Cricetulus griseus: one gene and its partner. The main gene of each other region encodes a partner of the protein of the gene in region 2 in a complex. Links are inferred from orthologs where the notes say so. Each region holds a gene or a part of one and is shown on either strand. Other genes may lie near its edges. The genes, in order: Polr2h and Gtf2f1.

The links.
Region 1: Gtf2f1 (region 2) and Polr2h share a complex: the UniProt entries of both Homo sapiens proteins name them as parts of the TBP-based Pol II pre-initiation complex. The link is inferred for Cricetulus griseus from reciprocal best matches to the Homo sapiens genes GTF2F1 and POLR2H.

The regions. Positions count from the first base shown.
Region 1 is NC_048597.1:67,925,439-67,940,695, forward strand, and holds Polr2h (DNA-directed RNA polymerases I, II, and III subunit RPABC3), read right to left. Parts: upstream 9,519-15,257; 5' UTR 9,177-9,518; coding exon 9,104-9,176; intron 8,127-9,103; coding exon 8,043-8,126; intron 7,798-8,042; coding exon 7,704-7,797; intron 6,669-7,703; coding exon 6,585-6,668; intron 5,052-6,584; coding exon 4,934-5,051; 3' UTR 4,687-4,933; downstream 1-4,686. Other genes in the region: Thpo (thrombopoietin), read left to right, coding at 1-142, 373-453, 570-881; Clcn2 (chloride channel protein 2), read left to right, coding at 11,125-11,208, 13,365-13,521, 13,671-13,802, 14,124-14,252, 14,334-14,467, 14,571-14,648, 14,730-14,808, 14,940-15,065 and 1 more. UniProt on the Homo sapiens protein: DNA-dependent RNA polymerase catalyzes the transcription of DNA into RNA using the four ribonucleoside triphosphates as substrates.
Region 2 is NC_048598.1:96,538,866-96,554,145, reverse strand, and holds the start of Gtf2f1 (general transcription factor IIF subunit 1), read right to left. Parts: upstream 6,376-15,280; 5' UTR 6,111-6,375; coding exon 6,099-6,110; intron 6,014-6,098; exon of another isoform or gene 6,008-6,013; coding exon 5,961-6,007; intron 4,645-5,960; coding exon 4,572-4,644; intron 3,494-4,571; exon of another isoform or gene 3,489-3,493; coding exon of another isoform or gene 3,417-3,488; coding exon 3,223-3,416; intron 2,761-3,222; coding exon 2,590-2,760; intron 1,445-2,589; coding exon 1,260-1,444; intron 519-1,259; coding exon 365-518; intron 276-364; coding exon 214-275; intron 141-213; coding exon 21-140; intron 1-20. Other genes in the region: adenylate kinase isoenzyme 1-like, read left to right, coding at 6,729-6,789, 7,495-7,694, 9,288-9,401, 13,816-14,010, 14,533-14,601. UniProt on the Homo sapiens protein: TFIIF is a general transcription initiation factor that binds to RNA polymerase II and helps to recruit it to the initiation complex in collaboration with TFIIB. It promotes transcription elongation.

The DNA of each region.
Region 1 (15,257 bases), on a different chromosome or scaffold from region 2:
AGGGGCCGTGTCCCTTCTATTGGAGGGAGTGATGGCAGCACGAAGACAGTTGGAACCCTCCTGCCTCTCATCACTCCTGGGACAGCTTTCTGGGCAGGTCCGCCTCCTCTTGGGGGCCCTGCAGGGCCTCCTAGGAACCCAGGTAAGTCTGCAGTCAAAAGACATCTAGAAACTACCTTCTTACTCAGTCCCTGTATAGACCTGGGGGAGACGAGGGATTCTGGGTACCTTCAGTGTAGAAAGGCTGGTGTAAAAGGAGTGCTGTCTCCCAGCCATCACACCTGGCTGCTGGCAATGAACTTTTTCTCCTTAGTCAAGAGAGGCCTGGTACATGGCCTGCTCTCTGGCCTCAGGCCCATCCTCTGCCCTCAGCTTCCCCCACAGGGCAGGACCACAGCTCACAAGGATCCCAATGCCATCTTCTTGAGCTTGCAACAACTGCTGCGAGGAAAGGTGCGCTTCCTGCTGCTGGTAGAAGGTCCCACCCTCTGCGTCCGACGGGCCCTGCCCACCACAGATGTCCCAAGCAATACCTCCCAACTCCTCACACTAAACAAGCTCCAGAACAGGACTTCTGGATTGTTGGAGACGAACTTCAGTGTCTTAGCCAGAGCTCCTGGCCCTGGGCTTCTGAGCAGGCTTCAAGGACTCAGAACCAAGATTATCCCTGGTCAGCTGAATCAAACCACCAGGTTCCCAGATCAAATCCCTGGATTCCTGAACAGGACACATGGACCTCTGAATGGAACTCAAGGGCTCTTTGCTGCAGCCTCACTTCAGACCCTGGAAGGCCCAGACATTCTGCTAGGAGCTTTGAACAAAGGCTCCCTGCCACTCAACCTCCAAAGTGGACATTCTCCTTCTCCTGCCCATGCTCCTGATGGACACACACTCTTCCCTCCTTCACCTCCCTTGCCCACCCATCAGTCTCCACCCCAGTTCCATCTGTTTCCTGATCCCTCCACCTCTGTGCCTAACTCTACCAGCCCTCATCCAGTCGGAGTTTACTCTCATCCCCAGAATTTGTCTCAGGAAGCATAAGGTACACAGGCACAGCCGGCATCTGCAACGTCTCTCAGGCACAAGCCTTCCCCGGAAGAGGCTCTGAGAGGCAACTGCAGCTGCACTAGACTTCCTGCTTTCCCTGAAACCCAAAGCCCTGGGAAAGGGATACACAGGACCAGCTATCATAACGTTTTAGGAGCTATTTTTTTTAACCTATCAGCAATATTCATCAGAGCAGCTAGTTATCTTTGGTCTATTTTCTCTATAAATTTGAAAATCGCAAATTCTCTGTGTTTTCTACAAAGACCTAGACTAGCCTAGCCTTTGAAAAAAGGTAGGGATTAACATTGTATCAGAAAACAAAAGGGCAGTTTCCTTTGCTTCAAGTTTAAGCCCCTCAATGCCCTCATTCCCTTCACTGTAAATCTCAGTGACACTGTTTCTCAAGAGATACTGCTCTTAATAAAGCCATAGCGAGTTACCTCTTAGAAAGGCTGCCCCTACTTAGAGGCAAAACTGAGAATAAATAAGAGCATCCAAAAGCCAACTAAAAATCAGGGGAGCATGTTCTTCACTGGGACAACAGCCCTCCTGCACCCTACCTCCCCAGAATGCTAACAGGAAGCCTGGGGAACTCCACACCCCAGGTAAGGTTGTGCAGACATTTAGTAAAGACTAGACCTGGAAGTGGCAGCTGAGCAAACAGCAAAGCGCATCAGCGGCTCAGCAGGAGCTTAGCCAGGCCTGGGCTCCTGCTTCCCTCCTGTGGAGGTCAGGCGGAAGTGCAGGAAGTGGCAAGAGTTAGGCTCCAGACCTCACACAGCAGGACAAGCACTGGGCAGTGGCTCTTTCTGCTTTCCACAAATGCACCTAAAAAGCAGCCTTGTGTGGCCACCATGAACTCTACTGGGAACCCCCAAAATGAAGGCAAGACTCCTGGGGTTTTGCAAGCAAGTGCTTTGTTGGTGCTAGAAGTTTACGTTGCATAAAAACAAAAAGTGTACTGCCAGGGTTAACCTGCTACCACAGTCTGTGAGAAAGCTGCTGGAGGCTTCTTCCTCACTCCTGTCCCAGAGTAAAGGAGAAAAGGCCACCATGTGGGCAGCAAGAAGGCTCTCAGAGTTCTAAACACTGCCACAAAAAAAAGCAAAGGAAAGGTATTCTTCACAGAGGCAACAGGTGCCCCAGAGTCTCCCCCACAATTCTGTAGGGTGGGTATTATTATCCATCTGTCTTACACATGAACGAACACACCAAGGCCAGATGGGCTTGGTCACACAGCCTTCAGACAGAAAAATGACCCCCAGCCTGAGTGGCAGTCCACTCATCTAACCCAATGTGGTGCCCTGTCTGATATGTCCTTCAGTGAGCCTATGCAAAGCAGAGACGTCCACGTCCTTGGAGGCTAAATACACTCTTAAGAAGCTCTGAGGAGAAGACAAGTGCTTGTGGTGGGAGTCACAATTCAGACATCTCCTGGTGTCCCTGGGGGCAGAACCAGGAGTCCACAAATACATGAAGCTAAAAAATGGTATCAAAATCTCAAGGCACTGTCAGTTTCTACACAGGAGAGAGTTTCATCTACACGACTAATCCCAGGATCATTCAGTATAGTTTGTAGTTTGTTGTAACACTGAAGGAGGTTAAACTTAACATTTAAAAATAAATTTACGGCAAGTGAGATGGCTCAGTAGGTGAAAGTGCTTTATGTGCAAACCTGACATGAGTTTGATGCCCGGAACCCATGGGAAAGGAAAGAACCAACTCCCAAAAGTTGTCTTAAGACCTCATTATGCATGCCACCACATGCTGATGTCCACACTTGCACACACACATCTCACACACATCTCACACACACACACACACACACACAAATAAAACTGAAAAGGAAAAAAAAAGGTGGACATGATGGCACATGCTTGTAAACTCAAAACTTAGAAGGCAGAGACAGGAGGATCAGGAGTTCAAGGCCACCTTCCGCTATATAAGGAATCTGAGTCCACCCTGGACTACAAAAGACTGTACTGTATCTCAAAAATTAATTTGTATTACGGCAGGGACATAGCTCAGTGGCAGGGCTCTTGCCTAGCACACACAAAGTCCGGGGTTCAATCCTCAGCACAGTAAAAACAAAAACAAAAACAACAAAAGCCACAATCATCAAGCCAAACACTTTACAGCACAGAAGAGCTGGCACTCTGAACAAGATAAGCCAGCCAAAAATGTGGGTTCTCAGCTTCTCATCGGTCAGAAGACAGGTGAGGATACTGAGCTGCGACATAGCTAACGCTCCAGGCATCTGATACGTGCTAATCTGAGAAACTGGTTTCTACAATGTAAACCAATCTGAAATCTGCCCTCTTAAGACTGACCCTGGGGGGCTGGAGAGATGGCTCAGCGGTTAAGAGCATTGCCTGCTCTTCCAAAGGTCCTGAGTTCAATTCCCAGCAACCACATATTGGCTCACAACCATCTATAATGAGACTTGGTGCCGAACACTGTACACATAATAAATAAATCTTTAAAAAAAAAAAAAAAAAAAAAAAAAAAAAAGACTGACCCTGAAACTAGGTATGACGGTGCATGCTGATAATAGCAGCACTTTGTGGGGTTGAGGCAGGAGAATCACAAGTTCAAGGTCGTCCTTGGCTATATGACCAGCTGTTATTTCAGCTGTTATTTCAGGTGTTATTCCACCTTTAAAACTTTTAAACGTTGCCTGAAGAACCAGCTCAGTGACATGACACTTGCCTAGTAAGCCTTGGGTTTGATCCTGCACCATCAAAACCAAAGCGAAAAGTCTAAACCAAATTGATTCTGTGCAGCTGATTCTATCACTTCTTCCCCTACATACACACAAAAACAGGATTATGATAGCAAGATGGCTCAGCCACTGAAGGTGACTCACACGGCAGCAAAAAGGGACTTCTCAAAGTTATCTTCCCCCTCACACACAAATAAATGTTGAAAGCTTTTCTACTTAAGTCCCCCTTTCCTATGCTGGAACAGCCTACTGTCTACTTGACATTCTATCACTTATTTCTAATGAGGGTCTCCCCCTCCAAAACCTGACTCCATGGGATGATTAAAAGATTCTATTAAGATTCATCCCAACCCCCAATATGTCACACACACCCTACTGTGGAAAGAAAAAAGAAAAAACCTTTGCTCTTCCCCGCTGAGGCCACTCATTTTCAACCCATTTCCCTAAACACTACACCATTTCTAACACCTCTTGTAAAGACTAAAAAAAAAAAAAAAAAAAAAAAAAAAGACGGGAAAGGAAACACCCCAGGCATCCCAGCAGGGCCACCAGCTCCTGTGAGAAACCCAGGGCATCAAGAGACCAACTGGGGGTCAGCAAAAAAAAAGGCTTAGTGAGTAAAGGAGTTTGTCCTGAGAACCTCAGTTCAACCCCCAGGACACAGATGGTGGAAACACACACACACACACACACACACACACACACACACACACACACACACACACACTGGGGGGGGAAGATACCTCCTTTGTTGCACACAAAAGAGCCTTGGTTTTGACTCCCAGCATTGCATAAGCCAGGTGTGAGCAATCCCAGAAACTCAGAAGACAGTGGCAGGAGGATCAAGTCCAAGTCCAGCCTAGGCTAGACAGCAAAAGTAAACCCTGGATGACCCCACCCCCAATTCAAGAGAAGAGTCTGAAAAAGTAAGCTTTAATTTAAAAAAAAAAAAAATCATACACAACTTGAGATTCATGCTGCGCTCTCCCGCTGCACCTTCTACAGACAAGTCACTTTTCCACTGAATTCAGACAAACTGAAGCTGTATCCAGAGTGGACACAGAGCCAGTTCCTTTCACAGGTCAGCAACGCCAGCTTCTACTCAGGTTCGAACAGTGTCCATGACTTGAATGACTAAGCAGCAGGGCTGGTTTCCCACGAGGTTCAGAAGGCCAGTTTCTTCATCAGCAGATACACCCTGGAATCCACCTCAAATCCATGCAAGTTGTTGGCATCACCCTGAAGCCTCATGAGCAGGCCCCCATAGGACACATAGGCAGAGCTGAAACAGAAGGTCCCTGGTCCTGAGTCTGAGCTCTCAAGCAGCTGCTTCCCAGCAGCTCTCCGTCCATTTTTTTAAAGGCACTCCCCTAGCATTCTGTCATTAGGAACCAAAGACTGGGACAAACCTGAATGCAGATATGCACAAAGCAGTGTTGTTTACTCTAGTGGAGGAGTAAACGCTGCTGCTATGCCCAAAATAGGAGAGTAGTCACACAAATGAAGGTGTCACCATTCATTACAATGTTGTTCACACAAATGAAGGTGTCACCATTCATTGCAATATTATACAGCTATTGGATACTGAGGTAGGGGCTGGAGAGAAGAATGCAGACCTGGATTCACCACCCCCAAGCACCCACATGGCACCTTACAACCACCTGTAACCCCATTTTCAAGGTGTTCAATGTCCCCCTTCTGACCTTGGTGGTCTCATACCTGCACATGGTACACATATAAGCACCCACGTGCATGCATACACACAAATAAAAAAATACTTTTTTGAAAATGCTAAGGAATCAGGAGGGTGGCACATGTCTTTAATCCCAGCATCAGGAGGCAGTCAAGTAGCTCCCGAGTTCAACACCAGCCTGGGTCTACATAGTGAGTTCCAAGACAGCCCAGGCTACATAGAGAGACCCTATCTCAAAATAAAATAAAATAAAATAAAATTGAGGGGAATTTTCACCTGACAAGGGAAGTATGTTAGACAAAAAAAAAAAGAAAACATTATAAAGGATCTTAAAGGGAAAAGTAAACAAAAGAAAAGAAAAAAGACAGCTAGACCACTCCAACGCTTGTTTTTGTTTTCTCAAAACAGGGTCTCACTATCTCTGGCTGTCCTAGAACTTACTCTGTAAACCAGCTGACCTTGAACTCACAGAGATCTACCTGCCTCTACTTCCCAGGTGCTGGGATTAAAGGTGTGCACCACACCAGCTATTTAAATTGTAAAAAACGTCCTCCTAGGTGACTTTTGTTCTTTTTCACATTAATTTTCTGCTTCAAGATTCTAACAACCATATTGTTTTAAAATCAATTTTGTTTTGGTTTTTCAAGACAGGGTTTCTCTGTGGCTTTGGAGCCTGTCCTGGAACTAGTCTCTGCCTCCCGAGTGCTGGGATTAAAGGCGTGTGCCACCACTGCCCGGCATTTAAAACCAATTTTAAAGAAAAAGAAAAATTAGGCAGGGAAACTAAAGAACCAAGGTCTGGGTTACAGAGTAGCAACACATACACAAGTAAAAAATAAAAAGGCCTAGTCATGAAATGCTGCTTGTGATCCCCCAAGATGTTCTCTGTTGTCCCTCATGAAGCAAGATTACCAAAGTCTCCTGTGGGCCACAGGGCCTTGAAATCCTGATAGCAGGTGATGTAAGTAATCAAAATTCAGACTAGAAACTGTTCCCAAAACAAATTCTTCCACCCCGGCTTCGGGTACTAGAAAAAACAAAGAACCTGATACAGAAGGAGAAGCATGACCCAATTTCACAACAGGGAGGTTGGATTATTAACAGCCAGACAATGTTACTTACAGACGTGTCGCCGCTTCGGTTGAGGTCTCATCCCCCTCAATCCTATATACTTTCCCATACATGACATACTCAAACTGGTCCGCCCTACAAACAATAGGCAAAGTTACTTTTCACAGCAATCAATAGTGTAAGAGACATTTAAAAATGGAAACTGAGCCAGGCATGGTGGCACAATCCCAGCACTCAGGAATCAGAGGCAGAGGCAGAGACAGAGGCCTGTGAGTTTTCGGCCAGCCTGACAGTCTACAGAGTAAGTTCCAGGATAGTCACGGCCACACAAAGAAACCTTGTCTCGAAAAACCAAAAAGATAGAAATAATTAAAATAGAAACTGATAACAACAAATGCCATGGAAGCGCAACCTTATTTGGCTTTCACATCAATTCAGTGAACTAGAAATGACTGTCTGTACTTTATTGATAAGGAAATGGAAGATGGAAGTAGTGGAGCTGAGAAGTAAAAGTTCAGTATATAGTCATGGCTGTCCTAACTGGCTATGTAGACCAGGCTAGCCTCAAACTCACAGAGGTCTCCTGCCTCTGCCTCCTAAATGCTGGGATTAAGTGTGTGTACCACCAGACCCAATACTCCACAGTCTTTCTGTCACACCAAAATCTAGGTTACTATGTAATCATTTTCTAGGCCTTAAAAAAGCTACATTTGCAGGGTGTGGTGGTACATACCTTTAATTCCAACACTGAGGAGGCAGAGGAGGTGGATGTCATCTGTGAGTTTGAGACCAGCTTGGTCTACATAGTCCAGGCCAACCAGGACTACAAAGTGAGACCCTGTCTCAAATAAATAAACAACTGCAGTTCACAAGCTTCCACTCACTGCTCTCACTAAGTAATCAAGCCAGTTGTTTGAAATTTTTTTCAAATTTTTTAGAGACAGGGTCTCCAGCCCAGGTTGGTCTCAGATTTGATGTGCAGCCAATGGTGTTCTTGAACTCCTCATCCTCCTGCCTCATCTCCCGAGTTCTGGAATTACAGACACAAACCATCACACCCAGTTCTGGTTGTGTGAATTCTAAGTGCAGTAATGTCTTTTTCTAGCAGTAAAATAAAGACCATTCTATGTACTACTTATCTATTTAGTCCCTCCTTTACCACCGCCTCACCTGGAAGGCCTGTCATCTGTGGGGTTGTATTCACCATCATCCAAGGTACCATCTTCATACAAAGTACTAGCTATGACCAATCGGAACTTGTCACCTGAAAAGAGCATCAAGCGGAAACCAAAGATAAAAATCACTTGCTAAAGCCAGTCGTTGGCAGCACATGCTTTTAATCCCAGTACTCAGGAGGCAGAGGCAAGCGGATCTCTGTGAGTTCGAGACCAGCCTGTTCTACAAGAGCTAGTTCCAGGACAGCCTCCAAAGCCATAGAGAAAACCTGTCTCGAAAAACAAACAAACAAACAAAAAAATTCACTTGCTAGCTCCTGTGTTGGACACTTACCCAAGTCCACTGGGTAAATCTGAATGTTCACGTCTAAGATGAGGTCCATCTTGAAAGATTCACTCTCACAGTGCAGCCGAGATACTGGGAAAGAGCGACAGACATAATTACAGGCAACAGAGTCGGGGTCGAATGCAGGAGAACAAATCTTTCAACTAGTCCACAGCCATTAGCCTTGCTCTGGGACACAGACACAGAGTGCAATCCAAATCAGATTCAGAGAAGAAAGGGAGTAAACACCTCAGCAAGTGTCAGGATCCCAAGAAAGAAGCAGAACTTCTCTGGCAGCAACCCGTCTCTAGGCTCTAAGCACACCTGGATGATTTAGACTAAACTCAACTCTGAACAAGATAGTCATTAGTCCAGAGATCCCCACTTCCTAGTAGGCACTCTGCGGAGGGAATAGGCAGGGTGTATTGAGAACTGACACCTGTCTTTAAAAATGGGGGGGGCACGCCTTTAATCCCAGCACTTGGGAGGCAGAGGCAGGTGGATCTCTGAGTTCAAGGCCAGTCTGGTCTACAAAGCAAGTTCCAAGACAGCCAGAGCTACAAAGAGAATCTGTATTGGGGGGGGGGGGGTCTGTCTCCAGGTAAAGTGACACTGAGAAGAAACAACTTCCGGATTACTGGGAAATGAATACACCAAGCAGTCAGCTGCATGAAATTTATAGAGGACTCGGCAAAGGGCTAACAATTCTTGGGGCAATACAAAACTATGGGTTAGGAAGACAGGGAGGTAACTCGCTGCACGGCCTTAAGTAACAAAATAGATCGGGCACCATCACTTCTTACTACAATACTTAAGTGTGCGAGAGAGGCGCACGGTACATACAGCACGTAATACTGAATAAGGAGTCAGAAAGGTGTCCAGGGCTTTCCCAACCCCAAAGCCAAGGGCCACCGAGGCACCAGACACCGCAAACATCATAGGAAAAGCTGTCCCAAGTTTCTCATTATGAAAAACACTGTTTCCTGAGGGAGGTACCGAGAGGGTGGGACGGGCCACTTGGGGTGGGTGGGCATGTTTGGCCTCTTCCTCACCTCCCCTACACACCTTACCTCGGTCAAATTTCTTGCCTTCTGGGTCAATGTCTTTCACATCAAAAATATCCTCGAACAGGATGCCCGCCATCGTAAGGGGCACGAGAACTGCAGAGGTGCGGAGCGCGCGGCCACCACTGGGAATTCGCGCACCCCCTCACGTGGAGAAAAGAAGACAGGGCAGAGTACCGCCCCAAAAAGCGGCAACCAGCCGCAGGGCGCATGCGCACAGGCTTCAGCAACGCAGCCACTTCCGCTGCCTCCCCTCGGGGCTCCTTCACTTCCGCCGGGAAAGGCCACCTCGGAGTGGCTCGGACCTTGTGGGCGAGTCTCAAAGCGCGGTGACTCCGCCCAAGGCGGGGACAGACTAAGTCCCACCCCCGGCGGGTACCGCGATGCGCCCGGCTCTAGGGCGCCCTCTTCAGACCCCGGATCCCGATGCTTGGAAGGCTCCGGGACCGGACCCAGCCAGGAACCTTGATCCTTGGCCCAGAGGGAGCCCGGCCCTAGCCCTTCCCTGCGGTCCGCGTGCCCGCCGAGGGCACAGTCCGTGCTGCAGGAGGGTGAAGCCGAACTCCACCCGCAGAGCGCCCGCCCAGCGGGACGCAGTGCCCAGCCCCTCGGACGGCCACCAAGGTTCCCCACGCTGGTCCGAGCTGGCTCTGACCAGCTAGACGTCACCCGAGCCGGGTCCGTCCGGTTTGGGAATTTGCCGTGATGTCACTGTCAGGGAAAGGAAAGCCCGCATTGTGCCCTCGCCTGGGGCTTCACCTCCTCGCCACGCCGGTCTTCCCTTGGCCCTGCTTGGCACTAACTCTGATCCCCTAGAACACTGCCAATTGAACTTGGTACTGCCTGTCACCCCACTACACTACCCTCTTCTGGACACTGATCCAGTGCGCTTCCACCCGACACTGGCCTTTCCCTGGGAAACGACAGCTCGCAGCGCGCTCTTTCCAGGTGCTATCTCCTTTCATCGCAGCCCCCGTACTGGGCACCGTACGCTCCCCTTGAGCACCACCCTCTGTTTGCTGAATGAGTCTTCATCCTGATGCTGTTCTTTCTACACGGATTTCTGGGCACCGTCCTCTCCAGTGGCACCAACCTAACGCTGTCCATCCTCTTTGTGCCAACGCCACACTGTTCTTATCCTTCCAAGGATCCCGAAAGACAACGTAGAGCTTCACTGGGCCGCTTCCTCGAGGCGTCAGCAGCTACTCAAGTTCCCCCTTTAAGCGATGCCTGGGAGGAGCGACCTCTGCTCCCCCACGCCCGCCTCCCAGGAGCAGCCTCCCCCGCACCAATAGCTCCCTTCCCTCGGGCCTCACCCCTTCCCGTCCCCTCCCACCTCCACCTCCGCCCCGATCTCCAGGCCTAGCAGTTCCAGGTGCACCTTCCCGGGGGAACCCGGAGGAAAAGAAGAAAGGAGGAAGGGAGGCGATAAGGGAGCGGGCTCTCAGGAATCCTCCCAGACCCGTCTGAGCCGCCAGCAAACGCGAAGCAGAGGCTGCCCCAGTCGAGTCTGGCCTGGAGAGCCCGAGATAGCTCGTCAGCAGCCCCCTGCCCCAGCCCTGGAGTCACTACATCCTCAGCCCCTCCCGCACAACGCTGCAGCCGCCCGAGAGCCCGTCCCCTCCACGTGCCAGCGGACCCGCCCCCGTCCGGCCCCGCACCCTCTCGGGGCCGGGTCAGCCCCCGGCCTCCCCAGAGAAGGGGTGCAAGATCGCGTTGCAAGCGCCCCCTGCCGCTTCTCCGGAGGCCAGGAGGCGGCTCCAATGCAGACCCCAGCCCGACCGGACGCCCCTGCAGATGGGCCAGGGCGGAGCAGCAAGCAGGGCACCGCCCTCGGCCCGCCCGCCAAGGAGGGGACGCTAGCGAGAGGCTGAGCCTGCGGCGCGCGCCCGGGGACCGTCGCACTCTGCACTCGGCCGCCGGGGCTGAGGGGACGGGACGGGTGCGGGCGCGGGCTCAGCGGGCCGGGAGCTGAGTCAAGGCCAGAGCCCGAGAAGCCAAGGGAGGCAAGAGGACAGTGCACCGAGATGGCGGCCGCCACGGCCGCGGCGGCGGCGGCGGCGGCGGGGGAAGGGATGGAGCCTCGGGCGCTGCAGTATGAGCAGACCCTGGTAAGTGAAACCTAAGGGGTGCGCTATGGCACCACTGCTGCAGGTTGCCCTAGGAAGTGTGAGCACAGGCGGCCTACCCAAGCCCGGCCTCAGCCTTCCTCAGCTGTGGAAACTGAGGTTCGGGATCCGACAGGCTATAGGTTCAGGGTGTTTGAAAGCTGCTTGCTGGTTTCTGGCTGAGACTGGTGGCCTGGAGAGGACAATGACACCAGGTGTTTGGCCCAGGTGTCCTTCCCCTTACTCCCTTCGGCTGACACGATTTTGTTTTTTCCACTTACCAAGTTACAGCACCCCAGTACCCTTTCTCGATACCTGTGAACTTTCTCCAAATGCCTATCCACATTCTACACCTTCCCTGTGTCCCTACTATGCCACAGCATTAAGCTGGACATAAAGACTGCAGGGAAGTAATCAAATCCAAACCTACCCCCTGCCTTTAAAGACTCAAAGTCCAGCATTGACAAGAACCCCTCAGTCGAACTTTTGGGAAAGGTGGCTGGCTTAGGTGGCTTGTCACCCTGGGGACCGAAGCTTGAGGGTTGATGCAGGAAGCAGGAATGGGTGTGAGAATTGGAACCTTTGTTCTAGCTGGATCTAGGCAGGTACCCCACCACCACTACCACCCACGCCCATGGAGTGTCCCTTGACCTCATCAGAAGCAGGGGTCCTGAGCTTTGAGATGACTCATAGCAAGTCAAGAGTTAAGAAGCCATTCACCCTCATGTCACTAGGGTGGGGGGCCCAAGCCCTACAGAAAGAAACTGGCCCTATGGCTCCGTTTTATCAGCTCGGGCTGGAATTTGCCCTGGAGGGTGTCAGGGAGGAACCTCCTTGAGAGAGGGCCTGGATTGTAACTGAGTCAGGGAGGTGCCCAATTACCAGAGACTGTATGAAACTGGATGACTGGGAGAGGTGGTAGGTGTGAGTGACGCTAGTGCCGGCAAGCCCTTTTGTTGGCAATGGCTGTTATCCTTGCCATGCACAGGTCAAGGAGAGGGGCATTTGGCCATGGAAGCCAGGCACCTAAACTCTGAAATGGTATCTCTTTTGCACCAGCCGCCACTCCATCTCCCTGTGTCTATGAAATGAGCTCTCAGGGTCAAGCTCTCCCTGCTCTGGCCTCTCCCACTTCCCCTCCTACCCTTTTGTCTGGCCCTCACCTCCTCCCACCTGCTGTGTTTCCACACTCTGGTCTCTTCCTCCTCCCTGCTCTCGGGTCTTTCTCCCTCTTTCCTATATAGTTCCGTTCCCTCTGCTTCTCCCTTTCCTCTGTGTCTCACCCGAGCTCTGTCTATCCCCCCCCACACACACACACACACAAACCCCAACCCCAACAGGAGCCCTTTGTGTCTTGAAGCTCCGCGGGTGGCAGCCAGAATCTACTCCTCCCCACCCCCCAACACACGCCCAGCTTGGCAGGTCCAGCCATAACTCTCTTCCCATCAGCCTTGTACCACAGTCACAGCCTTGCCATCTGCAACCTCTGCTGTCCCCAAGACCTGTCACTGGCCCCAAGTGCAGTTCCAGAGGGACTGAAATCACCCAACACTGCCTTACCCACCCAAAGAGGCTTTCCACTTTGAGCTGGGCTGCCGGGCTAATGGGGGTTTGGGAGTGGAGAATGAGGACAAGGGGATTAGGGTGGGTGGGAAGGGTGCCACTGAGTTGGTCACAGGCCAAAGGCCCAGTAGGAACGTGATAAGGATTGGGGCTGGGACCTCCTAGGCCCAGCTCAGCTGCTCTCAGCTCCACCAGCCTCTTATTGTTGCTCATACGCCCTTGACCATCCCTTAGTCTCTGACCTTCCTGCCTCCCACTTTCAGACTGTGCCTTAGGTTTTTCCATCTTTTCCCTCCTCTGGACCCTTCCCTCTCCTCCCCAGTGCCCTCACTCCTGGCTCGCCAGAAGAGGACTGATTATTCTGCCACCCCCAGAGTTGTGTCCCTGTACCTTGTCTGTCCCCATCACTCTGGCCAGGACAGCCCCCGCAGTCTGCAATGTGCATTGTTCCCACACTCTGAGCCTAGTGAGAACTGGATTCAAGATGGGGTACACAGTGTGGGAGCTGAGCAAAGCAGGGTCAGAACCCAGGAACCCTCCCTGCATTCCCCACCTCAGGCACACATGCTAATGCCATGTTTTATCTGTGGTTCCAGATGTATGGCCGGTACACCCAGGAACTTGGGGCCTTCGCCAAAGAGGAAGCTGCTCGGATTCGCCTGGGAGGGCCTGAGCCCTGGAAGGGGTCCCCTTCTGCCCGAGCTCCCCCAGAGCTCCTGGAGTATGGACAAAGCCGATGTGCCAGATGCCGCAGTGAGACCTGGATTGGGGCAGGGACCTGACTGTTCTATACTGGGGGAGGCAGAGACCATTAGAGCTGCCCATGGGGGATGGGGAGAGACGGATGAGTAAGAGCACTTTGGTACCAGCTTCTCTATGGATCTTCCCTTCCCTGCCTCCAGTTTGTTCTGTACGCTGCCACAAGTTCCTAGTGTCCAGGGTTGGTGAAGACTGGATCTTCCTGGTCCTGTTGGGGCTCCTCATGGCATTGGTCAGTTGGGCCATGGACTATGCCATCGCTGTCTGTCTACAGGGTGAGGGCAAAGGCTGGGAAGGGCCAACCTGTTTCCTCCATGCCACAGTTGTTTAAGTCACTTGGCTACTGGCCACTTTGTCTGGCCAGGCTGACTGCCCATCTCCAGGCATAGTTACTGCCGCTTGCTCAGGCCACACCTTCTTGCCTGCCCTCCATCTGCCTTATCTATGATGGGCTTTGTCCCAGTGAAAGGCCTTATAGGGCCTTTCAGTCTCTCTGTGCCCCGGCTCTGTACACTTGTCATATCAGTGTGTCCCAGTGGCAGGCAAGGTGTGGATATGTACACCAGAAGTCCAGCAAGCATGTCGTGTGCCCACAGCTCAGCAATGGATGTCCCGGGGCTTAAACACCAACATCTTACTCCAGTACCTGGCTTGGGTTACCTACCCTGTCGTCCTCATCACTTTCTCTGCTGGATTCACCCAGATCCTGGCCCCACAGGCTGTCGGTAGGATAGGAGGGATTGAGGGAGGCTCAAGCTTCCTGAATGAAAGTGTCAGACGACTTACCTGGGTATGTACCTCTGCAGGATCTGGCATCCCTGAGATGAAAACCATCCTTCGGGGAGTGGTGCTAAAAGAATACCTCACCCTCAAGACCTTTGTAGCTAAGGTCATTGGGCTAACTTGTGCCCTAGGCAGTGGGATGCCCCTTGGCAAAGAGGTAATTGCAGGTTGGGGAATGAAGGAGCCCCTCCCATTGGAAGAAAAGGCCAGGCAAGGTCTGGAAGGCCCTGTCCCTACTCACAACCAACCCCTACCACCAGGGACCCTTTGTACACATTGCCAGCATGTGTGCTGCCCTTCTCAGCAAGTTCCTCTCCCTCTTTGGGGGCATCTATGAGGTAAAAGGAGAACCTTAATATCTGACGGGGGGGGGGGTAACCGCTGAGCCCAAACTGACTCTGTGCCCCCACCCTTGCCAGAACGAATCCCGGAACACAGAGATGCTGGCTGCTGCATGCGCAGTGGGAGTGGGCTGTTGCTTTGCAGCACCTATCGGAGGTAGGCGTGGCTCCAGTCAGCATAGCCTAGCCCCACATTTGGCCTCTCCTCCTCAACCCCTCTTCTCCTGGGAGTAAGTCCTCCGAAGGCCATACTCTGGCCTCAAGGGCGATGTCCTCTGCCCCTTGCAGGGGTCCTATTCAGCATTGAGGTCACCTCCACCTTCTTCGCTGTTAGGAACTACTGGCGGGGCTTCTTTGCGGCCACCTTCAGTGCCTTCATCTTTCGGGTCTTGGCAGTCTGGAACCGTGATGAAGGTGGGGATATTGGGGGCGGTGAGGGCATCTAAGGTAATGCAAGTGGAACACAAGTTTACCTGCCACCCTGTACTTCTTCCCTTCAGAAACCATTACTGCTCTCTTCAAAACTCGGTTCCGACTGGACTTCCCCTTTGACCTACAGGAACTGCCAGCCTTTGCTGTCATTGGGTAAGGGGCTTACAGGAGGGT
Region 2 (15,280 bases):
AGCTTTAAGTACCTACACACCTTTTCTGCGTTTCTTCTCCTGTGGAGTGGGGACCTTCTTCTCTTCCTCCTCCTCCTTGTCTTCCTCAGGAGGCTTCTCCTCTTCACTCTCTTCACTGCTCTCACTCTGCTCATCCACACCTAGGGACACAGGTATGAGCAGGAAGGCTGCAAGTGGACCCCCATCTCCAGCTGGTCCCTAACTGACACCTACCCTTGGGGCCATCCTCCTGCTGCGGCACTTTGGGTTTGCCCTCTGTCTCATCCGGGGAGCTGCTGTGAAGTAGAGAAGGGCAAACATGAAGATGGATGACCATAGATAGGCCCGCCTCAGGCCTGCCTCGAACTGCCTCGAACTGCCTCACCTGGAGCCATCTGACATGTAGTCCACCTCCTGGCCCTCAAAGTCCCCATCATCACTGTCCTCAAAGGCCTCATCATCTGAGCCCTTCTTCTTTTTCTTCTTCCTGCCCCCTTTGGTCATTGGGGCCTTTTTTTTAGCCTTAGAGGCTCTGCTGCCTATGAAAAAAAAAAAAGATACAGGAGGGGAATCAGTCTGGATGAGCCCAGAGCACTGCTCACGGCTATGCAGGGGTTCCACCTGAGCCATGCCACCAACCCCTACCTTGTATCATTGTGTTGTGTGGGACTTCAGTAAAGGGTTCTCTACCCCTAAGCCATCCAACTAACCCTTTTTTAGGTTGGTTTCTTTTTTGGGGGGGGAGGGGGTGGGCGGAGGTTGCTACAGGGTTTCTCTGTGTAGCCAGACCTGGCTGTCCTGGGACTTGCTCTGTAGACCAGGCTGGCTTTGAACTCAGATCCACCTGCCTCTGCCTTGCAGTGCTAGGATTAAAACCTTTGTTTTTTAAGGTGGGAGTCCATATAGCCAGGCAGGACTGGTTATGAACTCTGGCCTATGGTCTGGGATCACAGCCAGCATACCATCTGTGGTATGTCTTCATATGTTATTCCCTGACAAGGAGACTGCACCTCAGGTTAGGCCAATTTGTAGAGAAAGCAGAAGGCTAGCCTAGGCACTTATCCCTCCTGTGCAAATCACTCAGCCCGCTGCCCTCATCCCACTCCACCAGTCCTGTCACTCAGTCACCCAGGCCTGTGACCTGCAGCACAGCACCCTTAGAACATTCAGACAAACTGATCCCATGGAAATTCTGTTAAGCTGCCATTCATTTCAAGAGGGACCATGCAGCTTCACTGGTGGCCCTGTCCTTGAACTAGAAACTCTGGGGACCCGCTCACCTTCCTCGCCACTGGCATCACTGGCATCGGAGGACATTTCCAGGTCGTCCTCCAGGTCATGGATGCGAAGCTCACTGGGCTTCTTGCGGCTGCGCTTCTCCTTCTCCTCCTCATCTTCATCCTGGTCCTGGTCCTTGAGCCTCCGCTGTTGCATGATGCTGAAGTGGTTTAAGACCTTGTTCCTCCTGCACATGGGGACAGAGACTAAGCACTCTGGGGCGGGTGGTGGAGGCGGCAGGGGACAGCAAAGGAGCTGCTTGGGTAAGGATGGTGGAAGACAGTGACCAGGCCACTCAATTGGACATAACAGGATGGCCTCTGTGGGAGGCTAAGGCAGGAAGACCCCGGAGTCATCAAAGTGAACCATACAGCAAGCTCTAGGCAGCCCTTGTGTCCCTGGTCGGCCAGCCAACCAACCAATAACAAAAAAAAAGGGGCAGACTAGGCAACCTGGGCCATTTCAGATCCCCAAATCTTGAAACCATACACGGTGAGCCCTGAGATGCCATGTGTAACTGAGCATCTAGGGAGCCCCACATCCTAGCTCCTCCAGGCTCAGGGTCTATTCCAGTTAAAACCAGCTGTCCACTAATGTTAGCTAATTAATATTCCTTTATGTCTTTTTGTTTTGTTTTTTGAGACAGGGTCTCTCTATATAGTCCTGGCTGAGTTGGAATTTGCTCTGTAAACCAGGCTGTCCTTGAACTCACAGAGATGCTCCTGCCTTTGCCTTCAGAGTGCTGAGATTAAAGGCATGTGTCACACCATGTGTTGTTTTGGGACCAGATCTCATATAACCCTGGCTGACCTCAAATTTAATACAGAGCAGGGGATGGACTTCAACTCCTGATCCTCTTGCTTCTGCTTTCTGGGTGCTAGGACAACCAGTATGCATGCGTACTATCCCACACCACATCCCCAACAATTAATTTATCTCATGGATTACTTAGACCAGGGGTCTCACTGGACAAGGAGCTGTTGTGGACCCGTCTATACATGTCTAGAATAAGACTATGTGTGGGGGAGGGGCTGCTTCTGACATTTCGGTCCTGGCCCTTTGAGAACTGGTCCAGGCTTCCAGGCAGGTACAGAATAACCACACACATCACATAAAAGCCAGCAACCTTCTATGGACACCTTTTGCTGGGCCTCCCTAGTTCTCTGTCCCAGCTTCCTGGACTCTACCTCCTAGGCAAGAAGTGAAGCAGTTGTCATGGGAAGGCTAGGCCAATTAGTGGTGCCAGCCCTCACTTGGTTCCCAGGCCAGCCAGCTGCCTGCACCAAGTGGATTTGCTGCAAGGCTCTCTGCAGTACGACCCCTGTGGCTCACCTCTCCCACTCCTCTTCGGCCTCCTCAGCAGTGAGTGTGCGGTGTCGGGCCAGCGGTGTGAAATTGTACCAGTTCTGCACAGGGAAGGCCTCAAAGGCACCGTCGGCACACTGAGTGAAGATATAGTAGGCTGTGTTCTCTGTCACTCCGCCCTTCTTTATGCCCTTGAACCTGTGGAGAGCCTACGGTCAGGTCACAAACCTACACACAGGGACTTGCCCCTCCTCAGAACCCACTTGGGCTTTCTTGGAATGAATGCCTAGGACAGAAGGGCACAGGCCACGATCTCCTTAGCACAAATCACCACTCAAGTCACCATGTGACCTGTGGCCACCATCTTCAAGGCTGCTTTCAGAACTGGGTCATGCTGCACTGTGCCCTACTCCCAACCTATAACCCACCATGGCTACTGTGCATAGAATACTTGTCACTGACTCCATGAGACTCTATCTCCTTTGCCATGGATTACCCTCTCCCAAGGGGTTATCCCAGATCAGACTTTCATAAGGGAGGTGGTACTGGGACCCCCCCTAACCCCACCATGCTAGGAACAGATTCAGAGAGGATGCCCCCACAGTGTGCATGTGTGAGGGACACAGGCAGGCCCTCCCTCCCACCATCAGTACCACTCACTTCCTGCCCGATTTGCCATTGACCCGAAGCAGCCAAGGCTGGTCCTCAGGCCGGAACTCCTTCAGGACGATGCCATACTTCTTTCGTCTTGCTTCCTCCCGGAGCTTTCGGTTAAATTCACTGCCTGCTCCGGACTCTGGCATTTCCTCTTCCTGGTAGATCTTCTTGTTGCTCAGATCTCGCTCTAGCCGGGCCTGGGGGAGCAGCAGGCATGGATCCTCAGGCCCCACAGGAACACCCTTCTGTCTCCCTCTGCTGGATTCCATATGCTCTGGGCATCAGGAATGGAGGGTTTGGATTCTCAGTACCCAGGAACAAAGCTGGGCAATGCCACATGCATCTGAGGCCCCAGCAGGCAGGAACAGACAGGAGGGTACCTGGAACTCACTGGTCAGCAAGCCCAGGTTCAGTGGGATACCCTGACTCAGAAACTCATGAGGAAAGTCTGTGAGAGAGTGTTGCCTGCGAAGCCTTAGACTTCAAGACCCAGGCAGGTGAAAACTGACCCCTGAAAGCTGTTCTCTGATCTCCAAATTGTGTCCCACACTCATCTGTGGCCTAACATATGTCATCCAAATAATAATGTGCAAAGTAACTAAAGAAGACACCTGTTGTCAACCTCTGGCCCTGAGATGCACCACATGCCCACAAGTGCATGTGCACACACGAAATGTCACACACAAAAGGGACTCCAGGGAATGGGGCCCTTAGAAAGACCACAGAGACAGGCGGTGTCCACCAGGGGATAGCTCAGATGCAACCAGACAATATGGAGATATAGCATTTTAACATGGCACCCAGAATAGTGGACAGTTTAAAACTTTGGCCTTTAAAATTTCCTTATTTATTTTTTGGTTTTTCAAGACAGGGTTTCCCTGTAGACCAGGCTGGCCTCAAACTCACAGAGATCCACCTGCCTCTGACACCTAGTGCTGGGATTAGGATTAAAAGTGTGTGTGCCACCAGCGCCCGCCATACTTTGTCTTTGTTAAAGCATGGTCCAGGTATCCTAGTCTTCACTTGAGCTCACTTCATAGCCAAGGATAGTCTTCAATTTAAGAACCTATACCGCATGCCTGTGTTGGGATGATAGACACGTGCTACCAAGTCCAGCACACATGGGGTCCTACTTGGCCTGCTATATGCTAGTTGATGCTCCATTAACCAGCCACAACCCAGGCTTGCTTTTTTTTGAGACAGGATTTATGTAGTCAGACCACACCTCCAAATGGTTGGAACCACACATCTGCCAGGGTTGTAAGTGTAGCCGCCACCACTTCAAGAAAGTGATGACTGTAACCACCACCCAGTTAGGCCTCTGCCCCAGCCACCCAGAATTATAGACTTACCTGGTTCCAGGTAGCAAAGTTGACTTTATCAGCTGCATTAAAAGCCATTATGTTGTACTTTTTGGTTGTGTTCCTGGAATGGGCAAGAGAAAATTCAGTCTACTGATTAGTCATTCAAAAAATCCACCATGATTACACCCCTTGGTTGTAGGTAATTCTGGGAACTCATAAAAGCTCCAGAGCAGTGGTTTTCAACCTTCCTAAAGCTGCACCCTTTAAAACAGTTCCTCATGTTGGGGTGATCCCCAACCACACAATTATTTTCGTTACTACTTCCTAATTTTGCTACTGTTATGAATCATAATGTAAATATCTGTGTTTTCTAATGGTCTTAGGCTTAGACCATTGGTCTAATTAGACCAATGGTCCAATGGTCTTAGACCCTGTGAAAGGGTCATTTGAACCTAAGGGGTTACAACCCACAGGATGAGAACCACTGCTCCAGAGTTTGTTTAAGAAGCTAGATCAAAAATAAATAAATAAATAAATAAATAAAATAAAATGGATCCATCTCCTCCAACCCTATCAGAAGTTAGCCACACCCAGAAGCCCCAGCATGCTCACAGTGCATAACTATACATGCAGACAAAACATTTTTTTTTTTTGAGACAGGGTTTCTCTTTGTAGCTTTGGAGCCTATCCTGGCACTAGCTCTGGAGACCAGGCTGGCCTCGAACTCACAGAGATCCGCCTGCCTCTGCCTCCTGAGTGCTGGGATCAAAGGCGTGTGCCATCAACACCCGACTCAGACAAAACATTCTTACACATAAAGATAATAAAAGAAAAAGTGGGCCACCAGGCAGTGGTGGCAAGTGCCTTTAATCCCAGCACCTGAGGGAGAGGGGGGAGCAGAGGCATGCAGATCTCTGTGAGTTTGAGGCCAGCCTGGTCTACAGAGCAAGTTCCAGGACAGACTCCAAAGAAATACAGAGAAACCCTGTCTTGGGAAAAAGAGGAGATCAAGCAGGCAAGAGGCGGAGGTGTGTGAGGGTCTTGGTAGGTTTAAGGCCAGCCTGGTCAAATCAGCTAGAACTACATTACACAGTAAGACTGGTCTTCAAAATAAGAGAGGGCTGGGTATGGCTTAATGGTGGACTACTTGGCCTCGCATTCATCTAAGTTTGGGAATTTTTTTTTTTTTCGAGACAGGGTTTCTCTGTGTAGCCCTGGCTGTCCTGGAACGCGCTCTGGCTTCCAGGCTGGCTTCAAACTCCCAGAGATCCACCTCCCTCTGTCTCCCGGATTAAACGCAGCCACCGTGTGTGGCCTGAGCGTCTGAAAATAGGACAGAGTCATCGAGCCTGACATTAACTACGGTGTGACTGTTACTGTGACTTGCACGGAGCCACCACCGGGCCGAGGAGCGTGTGGTGGGTGTGGGTGACTTACTTGGGGACTCGGACGACATACTCGGTGACGTTCTGGCTGCCGGGGCTCTGCAGAGGAAGCACGGGTTTGTGAGGCGAGGAGAGGCCGTGGATCTGTCCTGCCACCCCCACCCCGCCTCTCCGTTTCATTCATACTCACTAGAGTCGCCATGGCCGTTGCTCAAGCGGTTCCGGGGCGGCGTGATCCGATGCTCTTCGTGGTATCCCTCGGTCCCGGGGAAGGCAACTTGCCCGGGAGTTACGTTGGTATGATCCTGTGTTTTGTGTCTCCAAACCCTTAAGTCTCAAGAAGACGTGACTCTGACCCGGAACTAGAACTGCCACACCGGGGTGGGAGCTACCTCAGCACTCACCTAGCTCAGGCGGTCTCCAGCCTCTGACTAGCGCTCTCGCCGCCAGCGCGAGTGATTTATTCACGGCGCGTGGGCACGCCCCTCGTGACGTCACGGCTCAGGCACCGCGGTGCATCCTGGGCAGGGTGGGAGTGGCGTCTTCTGGCGAGTGCGTCCTCGGCACTCCTGCGCATGCGCCAACGTGCCAGTGGCGGGTGCGGAGGCCGCGTTGCCATAGCAACCGCGGCCGGCTCCGCGAGAGGACTCTTGGGGCTCCGGGGGGGGGGGCGGGGGGCTGGGATTCCGTTTTCTGTGCCCCGGGTGCCGGGGGGAATTCCGGGCATCTTGCAAAAATGAGCCCCTTGTGACGTCGAGCGGAGCCAAGGGGTCGGGGCAGGTGGGAACCCGGCCCCCGCGTACTCCGGCATGCGGGCAACATGGGTCTGTGCCAGTCCACGCTGCCCCAGGTGGGCAGAACTTTGAGGACCCAGGAGAAGGGTAACGTGGTGGGGTGGTTGGCTTACGCGGGTGGCGGACGGGGCGTGGGAGCAGGTATCCCACCCACCGTGCGGGTGTGCTCACACTAACGCGGCAAGAACGCAGCTGCGCATGCCCTCTCCCCCCCAGTGGTGGATGCCTGCGGAATTACAGCTCTAGAGGAAGGGCTCAGAGAACGGGGGCCTGAGGGATGCATAGGAGTTGGTTAAGCAGAGGGACAAGGCAGGCACAAACCTTGAACCATAAACGGCTACTGACTTCCACGGTTGGTAGCAGAGACATTCATTTCTTCACCATCAAGGGCCATGCACCCTGGGTTACAGAGGCTGGCTAGGAGGACCAAAGCGAGCCGAAAGAGAGAAAGAACCATGGCTGACTATGGAATGCATGGGGGGAGGGGGGTCTGAGGCAGGGGGAGGACAAGCTGGGACGCTTGACCCCAGCACGGGGGGAGGTGTGACTGTAGACGTAAGCAGGTAGGTTAGACAGGACCACCGCATGCTGGACTGAGCAGGGTGCGGCTGCGTGAGTTTGAGGGCCTCTCCCTTTCATTATCTGTAAAATGGGGTGATGGAATTACAAGGGTGCTCCAAGGAGGTCTGTGCAAATGGCTCAAGAGAATCCCAGCACTGGGATCCTTCGATTCGAGACCAGGGCACCCTGAAGACACGCACTAGTACCCACTGTCTTCCATGAACACTACAGATGTCCTGAAGTCTCCCCTGATCATCTTCGTGGTGGGCGGCCCTGGCTGCGGGAAAGGGACACAGTGCAGAAACATGGCCACCAAGTACGGTTTCTGCCACGTGGGGCTGGGCCAGCTGCTGCGGGAGGAGGCTCAGAGGTGCACCCGGCGGGGTCAGCAGATCCGGGACATCATGCAGCAGGGACTCCTGGTGCCCACGGTGAGAGTTAAAGGGAGAGGGGGGCAAGACAACACAGAGTCAGTCCCCAGGAAGCCAGGGTGTCCTGGCCCAGGCACTGCCTTGTCATACCGACACTGTCATGAGAAGACTGTGATGTGGGAGCAGTTAAAGGCACCTGCTACTTTGGCCCAGGACCTGGGTTTGGTTCCCAGTACCCACATGCTGGCTCACAACTGTCGGTAACTCTGGTTCCAGGGGACCTGATGCCCTCTTCTATGCTCTGAGGGCTCTGCACACATGCACAGACATCCATGTAGGCAAACATTCATACAAATAAAACTCTTATAAAAAAAAAAGCCATTATGAGGGCTGTTGGGAAGATCTGTTGGTAGAGCATGCACAAAGTCCTGGGTCCCATCCCAGCACCTCAGAAATTGGGTAGACACTGGACAACCCAGTACTCAGGAGGTGGAGTCAGGAGGATGAGTTTGATGGTATTGACTACGTTAGAGAGTCCATGCCAGGGGTCAGAGAGATGGCACCGTGGGTGAAGGCCCTTGAGCCAAGCCTGACAACCTAGTTGAATGCACAGGAAGGAGGAACCAATATAGCTTGTCTTCTGCCCCCACAGGTGCTGTGGCACATACAACATCCCCTGCAACTAGATCCATAATAAAGAGCTCTAATAAACTTTTGTTTTATTTGTTTTTTATTTGTTTGTTTCCACCAGACAGGGTTTCTCTGTGTAGCCCTGGCTGTCCTGGAACTCAGTCTGTAGACCAGGCTGACTTTGAACTCACAGAGATACACCTCCCTCCAGAATGCTGGGATTAAAAACATGTGCCACCACTGCCCCAAAAAATCTTAACTTTTTAAAAAAACTTATTTTTGCTGGGCGTTGGTGGCGCATGCCTTTAATCCCAGCACTCGGGAGGCAGAGGCAGGCGGATCTCTGTGAGTTTGAGGCCAGCCTGGTCTCCAGAGCGAGTGCCAGGATAGGCTCCAAAATAAAAATTTATTTTTTGGTTTTTTGAGACAGGGTTTCTCTGTGTAGCTTTGGAGCCTGTCCTGGCACTCGCTCTGGAGACCAGGCTGGCCTTGAACTCACTTAGATTCTTCTACTCTGCCTCCCGAGTGTTGGGATTAAAGGTGTGTGCCACCACCACCATCCATCCAAAATCTAATAAACTGTTTTTTTTGTTTTTCGAGACAGGGTTTCTCTGTGGCTTTGGAGGCTGTTCTGGAACTCACTCAATAGACTAGGCTACCTCTGCCTCCGAGTGCTGGGATCAAAGGCAGGCACCACCAACACCCGGATCTAACAAACCTCTAAGTGGCAGTGGTGCACTCCTTTAATCTCAGTATTTGGAAGGCAGAGGCGGTCGTGTTTCTATGAGTTTGGGGCCAACCTGGTTTATGAGTTCTACTACAGCCAGGGCTGCACAGAGAGACCCTGTCTCCTAAAAACAAAAATGAAAAGCCTGCAAGCAGAAAGGAAGCCAGTGATTGAGGTGCTGGGTTTTTCCTCTGTCTCACATGAGTTCCAAACTGAATGACCTTTGTAGCACCTGGCCTCTCTGGGGTGGCAGGTCCTGGGCACTGAGTCTTGAGTCCGTGCCCTTTTGTTCTCAGGGTCTCATCCTGGACATGGTCAGTGACAACATGTTGGCTCATCCAGAGAGCCGAGGCTTCCTCATCGATGGCTTCCCCAGAGAGCTGGAACAGGCCAAAGAGTTTGAGCGGATTGTGAGTGCCCCGACCCCAAAGTGTCCTTGAGTGTGTGTGCCTTGGGTGCGGGTGGGGGTGGGGGGTGGGGGGGGTGGGGGGGGGTCTATGCTACCCTTCTCTCTACTCCCCTTAAAGCACTAGTGGATGATGAGATGGGGCCTGAGGCTGGGAGGCCTTCCTTCCTTCAGCTCTCATAGTCTAGGCAGGTCTCAAACTCTTAACTAGGATAGACTGACCTTGAAGTCCTAACCTTCCAGCCTCTGCCTTTGGGGTGTTGGGATGGCAAGCTTGTGCTACCAGTCCTGGTTTATATGCCTAGGGTGGAACCCAGGGCTGTGACCAGGGCGTGTCCTCTGCCCCATCCACCACCACCCCCAGCCCACACATGTGCAGTAAGAGTTAGAAGGCCACATAGAGAGGCAGGCCTGTGACCTTCCTGTAAGGCAGGAAGATTATGATTTCCAGGCCAGCCCAAGCTACATGGAGAGTTCAGCTGTCTCAAACAACAACAACAACAACAACAAAACAAAACAAAAAAAAAAAAAAAACAGGACTGGAGAGATGGCTCAATGGTTAAGAGCACCAATTGCTCTTCCAGAGGTCCTGAGTTCAATTCCCAGCAAACACATGGTAGCTCAAACCATCTATAATAGGATCTGAAGCCCTTTTCTGGCATGCAGGTATACTTGGACTCATACATGAGATATAAATAAAAATAGCAAAAAAGCAAACAATAAATTGAACAAAACAGGCCTGCAGAGGGCTCAGCAGTTAAGAGAACTGACTGCTCTTTAGTGGCTCACAACCATCTGTAACTCCAGTTTTAGGAGATCTGATGTCCTCTTCTGGCCCCTACAGACTTGTGTGTGTATATGGTGCACATAAACTCACCCAGGCAAATGCTTACACGCATAAATTCGTTTGTTTTGTTTTTCAAGACAGGATTTCTCTGTGTAGCCCTGGCTGCCCTGGAACTTGCTTTGTAGACCAGGCTGGACTCGAACTTAGAGATCCACCACCTTTGCCTCCCGAGTTCTGGGATTAAAGGTATGTCCCAACGCCACCTGGCTCATACACTTAAAAAAATTTTTTTAACCAAAAAAAAAAAAAAAAAAAAAAAAACCCTAAGGTGGGGAACAACAGTGGAAAGTACTGTTGGCCTTCATATTCAAAAGCACACATAGATGCTGATGGTGTGAGCCATGGAAGATTCCAGAGGGCGAATTTATTCATGCATTGTGTTGCCAATGGGCTCAGGAAGCATTCCCACTGCTGTTGCCATGGGGACCTGCAGGCCCCACATTACCAAGCCAGTGGTTTTAAGAGAAGCTGGGAGCTGGGATGCAGAATTAGCACCCCCCACACTTTGTTTAAATATCAGTCACAAATTTTTAAAATGTGAAACTAACTGTGTAACCCAAGGGAACTGTGGGCTGGGAGTCAGGGTGGAGCAGCTTCAGTCCTCAGTGTCTCATGTAGCCCAGGCTGGCCCCCAACTCTTCAAGCACCCAAAGATGACCTTGATGTTGATCTATCTCCCTAGCGCTAGGATGACAGTGAGGCAGCATTGTCTGGCTGGCTTGTGTTTGTCTTCTGACTGTTTCTAGAGACAGTGTCTCTCTATAGCCAGGAAGCCCCTGAAATCCTGCCTATGCCCACTGAACTCTAGGACTCAGGCTTGCATCATCACAGCAAGCTGTTGGCTGGACAGGTAATAGTTAATTCCTTTTAAAGAGAGATTTAAATTTATGCATATGCGTTTTGCATGCATGTATGTATGTCCACCACAGATAAGCCTGGCTGGCCTGCTTTTGAGGTCTAGGTATGAAGATGGTGTTGGATCCCCTGGAACTGGACTTAGAATGGTTGTGAGCCATCATGTGGAAGCTGGGTCCTCTCCAAGAACGAGTACTCTTCCACTGAGCCCTCACTATGGGTGTACTCTAGGATATGCACACAGAATAAATCTTTGTCTTGAAGACTTAAAGAATGGCCGGGCATTAGTGCCACACGCCTTTAATCTCAACACTCGGGGAGGCAGAGGTAGGTGGACCTCTGAGTTTGGTCTACAGCTCAAGTTCCAGGACAACCTCCAAAGCAATACAGAGAAACCCTGTCTCGAAAAACAAAAAACAGGGCTGGAGAGATAGCTCAGAAGTTAAGAGCACTGACTGCTCTTCCAGAGGTCCTGAGTTCAATTCCCAGCACCCACATGGTGGCTCACAACCATCCGTTATGATATCTGGTGCCCTCTTCTGGTGTGCAGATATACATGGAAGCAGAATGTTGAATACATAATAAATAAAATCTTAATATTAAAAAAACAAAAACAAAAAACAGCCGGGCATTGGTGGGTGGCGCACGCCTTTAATCCCAGCACTCGGGAGGCAGAGGCAGGCGGATCTCTGTGAGTTCGAGGTCTACAAGAGCTAGTTCCAGGACAGCCTCCAAAGTCATAGAGAAACCCTGTCTCAAAAAACCAAAAAAAAACAAAAAAAAAAAAAAGAAAGAAAGAAAGAAAAAAAAAAGAAAAAAAAAACACAAAAAACAAAAACCCAAACTTGATGAGGCCTGGTGGTGCTCTAACACCCATAAAATCCCCATGTGAGGGGCTGAGATATGGCTCAGGGATGGAGGCCCTGCCTAGAATTCCCCAGTGAGGGGCTGGGGGCGTGGTCTGGGCAGCAGGTGTCCTCATTGCCTAGAGTGAGGATTGGGCACAGAGAACCTTCATCCTTTTACATGTTTGTCTTATACACTCTGCACATGCAATGCCCACTACAAATGTAGTGCAATACACACTACAAATCAAGCCTTGGGTTGGGTGGGGCTGGGCTTAGAGGGCAGAGCACTGGCTTCTCATATTCCAAGTCCTGGGCTCCATCCCTAAGCCCTGTGTAGATGTGAAACTCCATTAGTGTCAGCTAAAGATGTGTGGAAGATAAGGGACTTTGGTGTTGTCCCTGTCCCCACAGAAAGCAAGAAACCAGGCATGGTGGTGCACACCTGTCATCCCAGCACTGGACTGGGGAGGTGGAAGCAGGACAATTGGGGTTCAGGGTCATCCTGGGCTACATGGGTAGTTCAAGGGCAGCCTGCTTCATGAGACCCTGTCCAAAAGAAAAAGGAAAACAAACAAACAAACAAAAAATCAGGGCCAGGTGAGGTAGCACACAAACTTAACCCTAGCACCTGGGAAACAGGCAGGTGGATCAGAAAGCCTGCTGCTCTACAATGTTAGTTCCAGGACTATATAGTGAGACCCTATCTAAAAATAAAAAAAAAAAAAGGAAGGAAAGAAAAGCAAAATAGAATAATAAAATAACCGGCTTTATGGTATCAGCACTCAGGAGGTAGAGCAGGAGGAAAATAAATTCAAGGCCAGCTTTGGATATACACATGACCTACTCGACCTTGGGTATATACATGATCCTGATTCAAAATAAATAATGAAAAAGAACACACCCAGTGTGGCTGTGTGTGCCGGTGATTTCATCACCCTGTCTCCAAAAGCAAACCAAAGGGTACAAGATATGGCTCAGTCCACAAAGCGCTAGCCTTGCAAGTGTGCGGCCCTGAATTCCATGCCCAGAGCCCACATAAAAACTTGGGTGTGGTGTATATACTTGATCTCAGCTCTTGAATAGGGGAGACAGGAGCATCCCTGGGACTCATTGGCCGGCCAGCCTAACCTATTTGTAAAGTTTTAGGCCAGTGAGAGACCTTCAAAAAAGCAAGGTTGTAGGCTGCAGAAATGGCTCAGCAGTCAAGAGTGTGTATTGAACCAGGCATGGTGGCATTTACCTTCATCCCAGCCCTGGGGAGGCAGAAGCAGGTAGGATTCTGGAAGTTTAAGGCCCTGTATATATATATATATATATATATATATATATATATATATATATATAGAGAGAGAGAGAGAGAGAGAGAGAGAGAGAGAGAGAGGGAGAGAGGGTTTCCTTGTGTAGCTCTGGCTGTCCTAGAACTTGCTCTGTAGATCAGAGATCCACCTGCCTCTGCCTTCTGAGTGCTGGGATTAAAAGCATGTGCCACCATGCTAGGCTCCAAAATGTTTTTTTGTTGTTTTGAGACAGGGTTTCTCTGTGGCTTTGGAGTCTGTCCTAGAGCTAGTTCTTGTAGACCAGGCTGGTCTCAAACTCGGTCTGCCTCCTGAATTCTGGGATTAAAGGAGTGCGCCACCACTGCCTGGCTTTTTTTGTTGTTGTTTTTCGAGACAGGGTTTCTCTGTGTAGCTTTAGAGCCTATACTGGCACTCGCTCTGGAGACCTGGTCTCAAACTCACAGAGATCCGCCTGCCTCTGCCTCCCGAGTGCTGGGATTAAAGGTGTGCTCCACCAAAGGCTCATGGTCTCTTGGGAATCTGTGCAAGACCCTCTCCTCACCCTGTCCTATTGGGTTACTTACTGCCTAGGTGGGCAGGGCCCCCAACATAGTCATGGTGTTTGACTGCTCCATGGAGACCATGGTGAGAAGAGTGTTGCAACGAGGGCAGGTAGAGCACCGAGCAGATGATTCAGAGCCGGCCATCCGCAAGCGCCTGGAGACACACTACACCCTGTGTGAACCTGTCCTGACCTTCTACCAGCAAAAGAACGTTCTGCGAAATGTGGGTACCCGGAAGGGAACCCTGCTTAGTCTGGATCTGCCATTTTCCCCACTTTGTAATGAGGGGATCCTATTTCGGTAGGGCAGCACAGGCTGGCCTAGAACTCATATAATCCTTCCATCAGTCTCCTGAGCACTGATAGGTGTGAGCAACTGGATGTGCTTGCAGTTCCTGAAAGCTAGAGTGGGCCCCCCGCCCCCCAATGCTGCCACCTGTGTAGCCTTGAGGCCCTGGTGGTGCCCAGATGTCTGGCTCAGTACATGCTGAGATGGAGTTAGTGTCAGCACAAGGGTCTGTTAGATAAGGGATGCTGGTGGTATCCTCATCCCTGGGAGAAACAAGCATGGGAAATTGCTGTCTCCTGCTCATGCCTGGATCCATGGGGTCTCTACTTGCCCCCACACCCATTGCTGCCACCCAGGCTGCAAACCTGCTCACATCAGGGCTTGCCTCAAAGGGGTTATGGGAGCATAGCTCTTGCCATGGGCTGCACCCTTGACCCCATGGCTTCCTCTCCCCTAGATCTTGGCTGAAGAAGCCCCTGAGAATGTTTTTGCCAAGTGCTGCTTGGTCATTGAGAGTCTGCAGTGAGGAGCTGATGTCTGGCCTACCCCATTCCCCACGGCACACAGGACCTAGGCCCGTGAGGTGAGACCTTGTCGATAACAGGGCCCCTTGTGGGGAGACAGGAACCTAATACAGCCAGAGGGGAACTACCTAGAGGTGGTAGCTGTCACTGCATCATGTAGACCCTGGTTATTTTTGTAGACTGTCATGGTTTGCAGGTGGTCTGAGGGCAGCTTTGAGTAGATTCTTTTGACTGATGGTATGGCTCGTAAGTTTCCCTGTGAAGGATTAGAGGAGCCACTACACCTGATTTTGGGACCAGCACTTTTACCTGCAGTGCCATCTCCCTGGCCTTGACTGATTGACCCAGGCTTGACCTCTACTTCCTTCCCACTCAATGTTACACACACACACACACACACACACACACAGAGAGAGAGAGAGAGAGAGAGAGAGAGAGAGAGAGAGAGAGAGAGAGAGAGAGTGTCAGACCTGTGTCCCAACGGGATGCTTCCCCAAGGCAGCTTTAGTGACAAGTGTGGCCACATCCATGGGAACATGAGCCCCAGGGATGCTCCTCAGTGCCTGGTTCCCCAGGTACCAGAGGGAAAGAGTGCAGATGGCTGGGCAGGCTCACCAAAAGGAAGGGGACTGCATCCCACTCCATCCCCTCTACCCCACTTACCCTGCTTCCTCTACAAGC